Oryzias latipes: one gene and its partners. The protein of the gene in region 2 interacts with the protein of the main gene of each other region in a biochemical or structural test. Links are inferred from orthologs where the notes say so. Each region holds a gene or a part of one and is shown on either strand. Other genes may lie near its edges. The genes, in order: prkn, ube2g2 and uba6.

Region 1 (3,651 bases), on a different chromosome or scaffold from region 2:
CGAATAGTTTCAGTAAAATACCGCTTGCAAGAATCCATCTAGTGTGTTTGCCTTTGATGAGTGTGCTTTGCGGGTGTTTGTGGCAGAACACACTGAGGAATAGATAGTAGTGCACGAAATGTGATTTCCAAACATGAAACAGGATTGCCGCAGTTTTGTGTCTTCATTTAGCTAGATGTTCACCGACACAACTTTCCACACAAATACATGAAGCTAGAGTTTCAAAGAGGAGATGGAGACAACATGAAAGGAGATGGAGAGAATGCATCTTTTTAATTCATGTACTTTGGATGTGGACTTATAATCGTGTTTGTGTCCCATTTTCCACTTTAGATAGTGTGGTTTTGCTACGATTGCAGATTGGCTCTATATAGGTCACGTAAACAAACGTCACATGCAATTCTGACCTAAATCCATCGCTAAATCCATATATCTCTGCAGAATACTAAATCACAGCGAAACAGGAAGTGCTCAGCGCTGCTGCATGTGTGTTACATGATGTCGGTGCAGGCGATGCAGGGGACGTTTTTATTGTTGATCATGACGAGGTCCAGAGCCACAGAGACGTCATCATCCGAAGTTGGATGAGAAGCACACTTCATGTAGAACTCCTGCAACCATAAAAGCACATACGCAGCTTATTTTCCTCATTCAACAGGAAGTCTGCTACGCAATTACTTTGAGTAAAAGCTTTTTCAAAAATCGGGGATGAAGAGAAGACAATTTTGCAAAATCTTAAGGATTTAGAAGTCATTTGCAAAGACGAGTGAACCAAAATTCCTCCCAATTTTGTGCAGAAACCTGCTCATCAACGACAGGGAAAGTCCGGCCTGTCTGCTTGCTAATAAAGGTTTTGCCACAAAGCAGTTAGTATTTTCGGCAAGTGGGTTTAAATACTTATCTCCCTCAATGAAATCCAAAGAAATTTCTACTTTCAAGTTGATCTCTTGATTTTCTGTCTCTCACTGTTCAAATGAATCTACCATTAAAATGACAGACTGTCAATTTCTTTTTAAGTAGGCAAACCAAAAAAGAAAATCAACAAGAAATCAAATACTTATCTCCTTCACTGTATACTTCTTCTAACAGGAAGTCAATGAAGACATAAGCGGGCATTTAAAAAGGAAGGTATCGCCTTTTCGAGAAAAAACAAGCATATTAATCCGACATCTCGTTATTTTCTGATAGAGGACATCTGATAATCCTTTCTAAAAATGGCTCGAGACCTCAGATAACAAAGGGATTTGGTGGCATGTAAGCAGGCTCACTGGGAACTAAAGGAAATCACCACCAAACACCAGAGTTCACAATTTTCTCACAAAAAACCCAGCTACCAATGTTATGCTCCGGCCTTACCCCTTCATTGCCACAGCATCCTTCCGACTGGCAGTTTCCATGGATACGTCCAGGAATTAGAACATCATCCCAGCAAGATGGCCCCTGACAAAGACAGAGATCCTCAGTGAGACATCAGCTCCCGCAGTTCAGAGTTAAGTAACTGAGCCAGGTTAGTTCACTAGGAAACCACTGGGTAACACAAACATTAACTCTGAACACAAATCCAGTGTGGTCGTCTGACTGGAAGATGACCAATGAATCTTCTTCTATGATGGGCAAATTTCCACAATTGAGAGTTGTGTTAATCCCGCCATTTTGATGGTCTCATGCTCCTTTTCTGAACAAAAACTTGTTGAATTTAGAAATACCAAAAAAGGAAGTCAGTGGGGACATAAAAAAAATCTAAACACTATTAAACTCCACATACAGTTTAGTAAACGTTACCAAGGTGGCCTGAGAAAAGAGAATTTCAAACTACAACACAAAACCTGGGTTTTTCTGAACAGTAACACAGGATGTGCTGCTCTTACCCTGCTCAGTGTGAGCGCTGTCTGTTTGCAGGTCCGGCATCGAACCCGGAGTTTTCCAGGCTGAATGGACCTGCAGGTCTTACAATAGACAAAGAAAGAACTGCGGCTACGCACACCTGTACACACACAGAGAGCTGGATTACTGCAAAGACTCACCGGTGCACAACGGTATAAGACCTGTACTACTTTTCACAACTTGAAATGCTGACTCAAGAGCGCCCTCTCTGTCAGGTGACTGTAATACGGCTCTCATGTCTCACCTGCACAAACTCCGCAAACACACCTGCATGCACATCTGTACACCCACAAACATACCTATACACACCCAGACATACAAGTACATGTACTTACTTGTCCCAGGTATAAGTTCACCTTCCTCCTGTAACCTTTGTCCTCCATCCCCCATCTCTCCATCCTTTAGGGTACCTGTGAGGTCTGCGGGGGTGGCGGGGAGGCGTGAGGAGCTCAGGTCCAGCCTTGTAAGGCTCTCTTGCTCCTCCTCGCTGCCTTGAGGTTCCTGAAAGAGCAGCAGTTGAGAGGAGGACGATCTTGAAGGGGGAGGGACCACGTGAACGGTGCTCTGCTCTGGGAGGTCACAGCTCTAGGAGGAGAGAGAGGAGAATATGGTGTTTAGTTCTCAATATCACCTCAAAAAGTCTTCAAAGTACAACCTAACAAAGCTTCAGCTCAATCTGAATCTCCACAGGCTTTTATTTTGAAGGAGCTACAACCATGAGAGTAGCCTCAGATTTCATGACAGCCTCTGGTTTTTGAGGATATCTCCCTGTTTTCAAAAGGATCCACACGAAGACTTTTCAGAAGATTTCTTCAAATGTGGCGTCAAGACTTTATCATTTTTTGATTCATTCAGATGGTGTCTATCGGTGAACCTGCCTCCTAACGTTGAGATGTCCTGACCTGTGGGGCCAAACTGAGCTGAGTCGCAGGTTTCCTGCTTGGACACAAGAAGTTCCTGCGTCCTTCATTTTCCCAGCAGGCAGCAGCCTCACCTGCAGGGAGGAGGTGCTCTGCAGCTCCCTCCCAGCAAAAAGCACCCTGAGCTGCTCCGGGGGGACGCCCTGCTGACTCCCCACCACCTTCTTCAGCTCGGCAACACTCGCCCCCTCCTGGAGCTCCACGGCCACACCGGGGCCAAGGTTGTAGCGCACGAACACTGCGGACACAGCATGGAAGACTGCTATGAAATCTCATGCAGACACCATTCATGGAGATCACAGATCTTACTTATTGATTCATTTTTCAGCGTATCACACAGAAGTTGTATTGTAAATTGGTTTTCTGTTTGAGGGCATGACCTGTGTCACCTCTGCAAACAGAAACACAAAGCGGAGGGTTTAGATTTATAAACACAAGGGAAAATTTCAAACCATCAAACAAACCTGTTTGAGCAAAAGAATTTAAAAAACAGTTGTTCCACATTCCTGTGAATGACGAAGTTGTTTGTTATGGATATTGGTCGTAGTTTCCCCAAAAAAAAAAAAGTTATGGAAGTGTAGGAATTTCTGCCCACCTCTGAGTTCATTCCGTTTGAAAGACGACAAAACGTCAGGGGAACCAAAAACTTGAACAAAACGGCACTGTATAAAACAACCAATCAATAAATCAGTGAATTTTATCCAATCACATTGCACCTAGTTGGTGCAGCCACCTTCTACTAAATTTCCCTGAGGCTTTAAGAACCAACTGAGCACGCTCAAGTGCAACAGCCAATCAGATCTGGAGTTTGTAGTGCCAGGGCCAATTATAATGTGAGTGAGACATC
Region 2 (3,005 bases):
GCGACAAAAATGGCAAGTATTATTGGAGCTATCCAGACGTACAGTTTTAGGCCAGATTCCAGCTCGGACGAGGAAAACGAAGGATCTATTTGTTTGCAAGTGGATGCATCAGAATGCAGTGAAGCAGGGAGCTTTAGACCAACTGATTATAGTATTTATGTAACAACTACAAGCTTTTTCAAAGGACATCTTTATCATCTGCTTCTGAGTCAGCACAAAATGGATAAAGAAATACTTGCAACAAGTTTTCTTTAAATAAACTGTAATCCTAGTAAGATTACTCAAAGGTCTAAAATCTTAGTTGTGCTTGAAAGCTAAACACCTGACTTTAAGAAACTGTGACTTACAGATCAACCTTCAGACAGGGTTTGAGGAGAATCTGAAGGATCCAGAACTTTGAAGAGTCTTGTGTTGTCTTGTCTTCCTCTTTGCTCACCTCCTTCCTGGTTGACTGAAGTTATGCAGCGATTCACGGCTGCAGATTCCCACACTTCCTCACATTTTGCAGAGAGTAAACCAACATAACAAGCACCTCACTCTTTCATTGCCTTTATTGATCTATTTGTGAAATCAGACAAATCCACAGGAGACGTTGCAGCAGAGCTACGACGGCCCGGCTGTGAAAGCCCAACTGCGCATCGTGAGGATCCTGCGTCACGAAGACAGACAGTCTAAAAAGTCCGAAGAAGTCCAACGCCGCTGTGACCACTAAAGCAAGAGTCTGGGGGAGGAGACTAGCAGAGGAGGTAAGAAGACATGCAGTGTACGGCTGCTGACGCGCCTTGACGAGCACCCTCCCATCAGTCTGTCCATGTCAGCGGCTCTGTGTGCTGGTGGTTTCCATGGTGATGGTCTTTCACCGACAGACGCCCTGACGAGACGTCCTCCTCATAAACCCAGAGACCTGCGGACGATCTTCTGAGCCAGTTTGTTGAACTGCTCTCTGTCCTCGCGCCACATTTTCGAGGCATCGACGTTGGCGCCGCTCTCATCGTTGGGCTCTGAGGACGACAGGTTGAATCTGTGAATGGCGCCGAGTCCCTGCTGGTGTCAGACGCAAACGAGTTCCATACCTGCCAGCATGCTGACCACGGAGAGCAGGATCTTCTCCACGCTCTGGACTGGACTCCACCTTTCGGCGCTGCTCTCGTAACCCATGGGATCGTCACCCGGGGCGTGGAGGATAGAGATGCACACCCGTCCGTCGGGATAGACTGGGGCGGGGGAGGAGAACGCTTTAGTTCACCGGTTCTAGCTTCTCTGAACTCTTAGCAACTTTTTTTTTAAACTGCTAAATGGGATTATATTTCATTTCGTATCGTCTTTTATTTTTTTACACTCTCTCCCGTTAGCTTACAGCCCCTCACAACCCCAAGCTGAGAGGTGCAACAAATATGGTGAAAAATGTTGGATGTTTCCCGCCGAACAGTTTTAAGGACGTTCATGGATCTAGTCGTCCAGAAGTGTGTGCATTGGAAGAGAGTGGAGCAGTGAGACTTTAGCCTGCCCCTTGGAGTTTCTACATCACAACTGAGAGCGTTTTTGTTTTGTCATCTGCTCCTGATTTACCATGATTTAAATTAATAAATACTAAGAAAGGCAGTTACAAGCTTCGATGCTCTATGTCCTCTATCACAAGAAAAATGCAACAAAAACATTTTAAAAACACCAAAACCACATATTCTATTGGAGTGGGTCTTTAATCTGATCCTGTTTGGACCCCCTCCCCGTGCAGGGGGTTTCAGGGCGCTGCCGCTCGGTCCAGCTGCAGGAAATCTCCTCTGAAAACCGAGCCGCTGTTATCGGCAGCTTCCGTTTCATCTTTAACAGTTGCAGCGTGGAGTTCGGCTCAGGGCCATGCTGGTGAAGATGAGCGACAAGCACTTCGTCTTCTCATCAGCACTGAGCGCGCTCAGAGCGCTCGTGTCCTGACATCACGGCTTCGGCCCCACTAATCAGAGAGCGGTAAAAACACGCCAACAGCAACAAGCTCTGGAGCGTGCCGAGACAAGTCTGCAGACGGGCTAAGACACAAGACGTGTGTGTGAGTGGAGGTGTGTGTGTGTGTGTGCGTGTGTGAGTGTAGGGGTGTGTGTGTGCGTGTGTGAGTGGAGGTTTTAAGATCCAAATTTCAGTTTTCCTGAGTCATCAAGAAGATGAAATCAAACGTTGCTCCATCACAGATACTTAAAGCGGTCGCAGGTTTGTGCGCTCAACATCTGTTGCCATGGTGACGAAAGCAGGCACAAAGCCGTGGGCGGACTCACTGTTGGGGTGAAACATGTCACAGGTGAACCTCATCTTGGGAGGACTGAGAGGATAATCGGAGGGGAAGCTGAGGACAGCGGGGAACACTCCGCCTTCGAAACACGTGTCTTCGGGGCCCCTGAAACACAAACGCACATGCGGCGGTGAGAGCCTCACAACGCCAAACACCAAGAAAACGCAACAACGACACTGGAGGCTAACCCATCGCCTGGAGAAGCTTCAAACTCCGTGAAACACCAGAGAGCGAGGACTTGTGGAGAGGATCCTACAGACCTTGTAGTTGGATCCTCCTGCTGCTACTGTATTCCTCATGGCGTAATAAAAACGAACAGCAAGAAAATCAGCAACAAGTCTCAGAAGACCGTGTTGGGATAAAATAGAGTCTCCACTATTTTCTGGTCTTTGTTGTGGAAATGTTGAGAGCTTTTCTCCACCAGCTGATCTTTCAGGGTATGTCTAGACTAGGAAAATCCTTTGTTCCGGATCGAGTCCTGAACCCTGCGTTTGGTCTGTATTCAGACTGGCATCAAGCGGACCATTCTGCTCCGGACCAAAGCTTTGGTACGGCAGAGGCACGCTGCAAGGCAGGTCACTGGCAAGGAGGCGTGGCGCGCGAGGATATTAGCAACTGCAGTGATGAGGAGACGTCGGGTATGAAGTGATTTTGACATATGGTTTGTTGGGAAAACAGTGAGAAGCAAAGTGGATCACATTAAATGATGAGCCTGCATTCATCC
Region 3 (4,292 bases), on a different chromosome or scaffold from region 2:
AGCAACCCCAATATGTCGTCATCAGCCGCAGAGGTCAGAAGTGCATAATGGGTTGAAATGAACAAACTCAAAAACACGGAGGCCTCATTGTTCTATGTACCATCAAAATTTCTATTTTAAATATTTGGAAATTTAAGATATAGATATATTAAAGAGGTTATGGAATTTGCAATCTTACAATTTCAAATGCAAACATTAAAAGTTTTCCTCTAAAAATGGGGATCTTTACAAAACAAATTTGTTGAAAGTGCTTCAATATCAGTGAGCAGCATGAAAGACATTTCAGAAAGACATATTTTTCTAACTTACTGTCCTGATTCTTTGAGGATCTTCAGTCCCTCAGGCGGGATCTGTCGGGTCACATACACCCGCTGGAGGGTGGACATTTCTCTCTGGACGTTACTTGGTACGCCTTCTTTGATGCTCAGGGGAGCAACAGCGATTTTCTGGAGCCGACGTAGTGCCATGCGACTGCCCCACATTGCCAAAGAAGAGCAAGCCTTTGGAAGATGAACGCAGTTCAGTCTGTTTCAGACTTAGTTTTGGCTGCAGCTCAGGGGGGTGGGGGGCTCCTGTGGGAGTTTGACCAATATGCTGAAAGGGAGGGTGCCTCTCAGACTAAGGTGCCCAGGGTTGAAAAATAGTTTTCTGACAAATGCAAGTCAGGGCTTTTTCTTGTTTAGGGTAAAATAGGAAAGAGGCCTTTTAGACTGAATTATATGCAAACAAGAATGCATTCAAAACTTGAAGTAACAGTTACTATTGTGTGTTCGTCATCGTTGTCTTGTAGAGCAACAGGAGTTGAACGGATGTAAATGTTTCACCAAACTGTTGACCTTTGCTTCTCTAAACAGTACAGCACCCAAACATGTTCTGTTCTATTTCTCCAGCTTCTCCAGTTCATCAAACCCTCATTCTTTACCCAAGTCAAATCAGGTCAAAGTGCAAATGATCATACAAAAAAGAAAGGGTTTTTGATAAAAATCAGTACATAAAAATTAAATAAAAAGGGACAAAATTGATATATCCTACAAAGCACATAAATACACAAATAAACAACACAAAAAAGATACAGTATACCATCAAAAAGATTGATAGACTGACTGAATAGAGCATGTGTGCATCAATATTGTCTTGGCAGCTCTGAATCTGAAAAAAGACAGGTTGTTTTTGCCTGTCATCCTCTATTTGACTGCAAAGATGAACAATCTCCTCCGGGTTGTTTAGATAATTTAGTACAGATGGTGGAAATAGCTGGAAAAACAATATGATCAAACACAATGTAATGGTACGTATTAATACCAATAGGGTTTTTTAAGATGATGCCGTTCTGCTAAAAAAAATATGCAGATTTAGTTTATTATTGTTATTATTAGTATTAGTTTATGTACTGTAATACTCATTTTAATCACCACGACATGATTGGATGACTGCTATCACGTGATTACTGTAACCCGGAACCACTTCAAATTTTCAACCACTCACAGCCATTCATTCGCCGAGGACCGTCGCGCATACTGTCAGCTATTAACGTAAGTCGTTTGGGTTTAGTTTTTAACTCTATAAATAATAAAACCTACATTGTCCTCGCTGAGTTGGAGATCTCTCTAAAAGATTGAACAACCCGGAAAGTTGCATATTATATTAACAAATGTGTGTCACCACTTTTTATGAGTTTACGGTGGCTGTCCTCGCTACCGGTAACTGGGCAGAAGTGAAATCCGTGGCTAGCTTGTGGCTAACGTTGCTTTTTCCTCTCGAGATTAGAAACGAGCATGCGCGATCATTATAAACAATTTGTAGTCGTTGTAACATTTGATCAGAACAAGTCCTATGTAACGAGTTCTAACCGTGAACTGTTACTGTTGACAACTTGCCTCCCATCAAATGTCAGCTAGCCGCCAAGCTATACTTTTAATAAATAGGGCGTTGGTCCACATTGCATCTATTTACACTAAAGTGTCTCACATCTTCGATATCAACTTTCTATTTGTTACGTGCACCTTCTTCTTAAGGTAGAGTCGCTATCTTTAAACCGGCTGAATCAGCCCTTTTCCTCCCAGCATGGCTGCAGACTTGATGGAGATTGACGACTCACTTTACAGGCAAGTGCAGTTTTTGGTGTTCTTTTTTTTCTTCTTCTGATGACCTGAAGCTCCACGTGCAGCTGTCTGTCTCCTTGGTGAGTGTAGCTAACATCTTTATTTATGTGCTTCCTAATAGCCGCCAGAGATATGTGCTTGGAGACGGTGCCATGCAGCAGATGGCCCAGTCCTCTGTCTTTCTTAGTGGAATGGGAGCACTGGGAGTGGAGATAGGTGAGCAAGAGAAGAGGACACACGTTTGCACCACAACTCTTTATCTTTGATAGATTCAAAAAAAAAAAAAAAAAAAAAAATCATACTCAATCATTTCCTTCTTACAGCCAAGAATATAACTCTGGCAGGTGTGAAGGTAAGAGGGCTTTTAAACTTTTCTTGTAATAAAATAGCAAACATGTCTTTTTTTTTTTAGTTAAGGGGTTTTATTATATATATATTTTTTATTTTTAAACAGACGGTTACTCTCCATGACACGAAACTGTGTGAGACTTGGGATCTGGGGTGTAACTTCTTCATCCGTAGAGATGACGTATTGAACCAGAGGAAGAGGTAATAATGCATTCTGCAAGTCCAAGCATTGGTTTCTAAAGATGATTAACTGCTATATGTGATTATGAATTGGTTTGTAAAGAACCACTTCAATTAAAAATCAGGTTTTTGGTGTTTTTAATTTGTTTTTGTGGCAATTTTTCTCATGATGGAGGGCATGTATAAAAAAATATTAGGCTTTATACTGCATTTCTGAATATTTTTGTTATTTATTAAAATGAACTACTACTGCCCTGTAGAAACTGTGTCCCAGAAAAAAAATAGCATGATCATAATTAAAAGACATCTGGGAACACGTTTTGAATAGATCAAAAGATGATCGGAGTAGGACTTTAGGTGCAGCAAAAACTCAGGTCTATGCATGGCTTTTGTCAACTCATTTGTTACTAAATAACATGCGTAGAAGCCTAGATGAGAGAACTTGAAAATTAGTTAATAGCCACTTGATCTTATCGTTACTTATGAAAAAGTTTTTTCTTTTTTTTTCTGTCCTTTTGTTGTGGATTTTGTCTTGTGTACCAATACTCAGCCTCTTGTTTTGCCTGTTACAGGGTGGAAGCAGTGTGCCCTCGTGTTGGGGAGTTGAACCCTTATGTTCATGTTGACATGTCCTCCTGTCCCCTGGATGACAACATTGACCTGAGTTTTCTCAAAAAGTATCAGGTAAGTCGACATATTTTATGTTATGTTATGTTCACACCGAGCGTGTGTGGCGCCTAAACCTGGGTTCTATAACACACATTTGGGTGTTCACACTGGACAAGCTGGCAGAGGCTTCTTCTGCTTTTTCTTTTGCTACTGTTTACTAGCACATGTCCACCACCTACATTTGGAAGACGTTATGCTGTTCTTGGACTAGTTTGTTGAATTTTTCCAGAAAAAACGTCAGATCAGCAAGAAATCTGCAAATGCTCTTGTGCTATTGGCAGCTTTATATTAAATTGTACTGTCAACTTTTATGAAAGAAAATTTTTGTCATAATTTAAGACAAGATTATTCCTGTATTCCTGAAGGTATTACTATATACTGACTGCTGTGCTTTCCCCTGCAGTGTGTGATTTTGACAGAGTCCAGCTTGAGCCTGCAGAAGAGAATAAATAAGTTCTGCCACTCCCAGCAGCCTCCCATAAGAGTGAGTTTACAGTCATTCCCCTGGTTTTACCAAGATCAATATTACTTATAACAAAAACGGTTTATTTAAAATAAAAAATATGTCTGTGTTAGTTTATCTCTAGTGACGCTTATGGAATCTGTGTCCGGGTCTTTTGTGATTTCGGAGAAGCGTTTGAGGTCTCGGATCCCACAGGGGAGGAGCTCAAGGAGATTTTCATCCAAAGTATCACTCAGGTAGTCATAATACTTTCACATTCTGTTCTTCAAATTAAGACTCCTCCCTGTTCCTCTGCTTATGCCTCTTGGAATTTACATAAAGTTATCTAATCAGTTATCCTGATATTTTTGTTTTGTTGCTGAACTTGTCCTTTTCTTCTTTTTTTTCCATATTTTTTTCAGGACAATTCTGGGGTGGTTACTTGCATAGACAACCAACCCCATGGTCTGCAGACGGGCCAGAGCGTTATCTTTAGAGAAATCAATGGCATGGTGGAGCTCAATGGCACCACACGGCAGGTTTCAGGTGGG

What was found.
Region 1: the proteins of ube2g2 (region 2) and prkn form a complex in vitro, tested with the Homo sapiens proteins (6 studies listed by BioGRID). The link is inferred for Oryzias latipes from reciprocal best matches to the Homo sapiens genes UBE2G2 and PRKN.
Region 3: the proteins of ube2g2 (region 2) and uba6 form a complex in vitro, tested with the Homo sapiens proteins (2 studies listed by BioGRID, with this or other methods). The link is inferred for Oryzias latipes from reciprocal best matches to the Homo sapiens genes UBE2G2 and UBA6.

Annotation. Positions count from the first base shown.
Region 1 is NC_019873.2:12,964,815-12,968,465, reverse strand, and holds part of prkn (E3 ubiquitin-protein ligase parkin), read right to left. Parts: intron 3,043-3,651; coding exon 2,879-3,042; intron 2,470-2,878; coding exon 2,220-2,469; intron 1,985-2,219; coding exon 1,869-1,984; intron 1,441-1,868; coding exon 1,357-1,440; intron 612-1,356; coding exon 496-611; intron 1-495. UniProt on the Homo sapiens protein: Functions within a multiprotein E3 ubiquitin ligase complex, catalyzing the covalent attachment of ubiquitin moieties onto substrate proteins. Substrates include SYT11 and VDAC1.
Region 2 is NC_019879.2:26,801,074-26,804,078, forward strand, and holds the end of ube2g2 (ubiquitin-conjugating enzyme E2 G2), read right to left. Parts: intron 2,387-3,005; coding exon 2,268-2,386; intron 1,215-2,267; coding exon 1,074-1,214; intron 1,002-1,073; coding exon 889-1,001; 3' UTR 534-888; downstream 1-533. UniProt on the Homo sapiens protein: Accepts ubiquitin from the E1 complex and catalyzes its covalent attachment to other proteins. In vitro catalyzes 'Lys-48'-linked polyubiquitination. Involved in endoplasmic reticulum-associated degradation (ERAD).
Region 3 is NC_019859.2:12,642,381-12,646,672, forward strand, and holds the start of uba6 (ubiquitin-like modifier-activating enzyme 6), read left to right. Parts: upstream 1-1,448; 5' UTR 1,449-1,532; intron 1,533-2,015; 5' UTR 2,016-2,064; coding exon 2,065-2,105; intron 2,106-2,223; coding exon 2,224-2,318; intron 2,319-2,425; coding exon 2,426-2,454; intron 2,455-2,556; coding exon 2,557-2,651; intron 2,652-3,202; coding exon 3,203-3,314; intron 3,315-3,702; coding exon 3,703-3,783; intron 3,784-3,875; coding exon 3,876-3,998; intron 3,999-4,163; coding exon 4,164-4,287; intron 4,288-4,292. Other genes in the region: glyoxylate reductase/hydroxypyruvate reductase, read right to left, coding at 310-482. UniProt on the Homo sapiens protein: Activates ubiquitin by first adenylating its C-terminal glycine residue with ATP, and thereafter linking this residue to the side chain of a cysteine residue in E1, yielding a ubiquitin-E1 thioester and free AMP.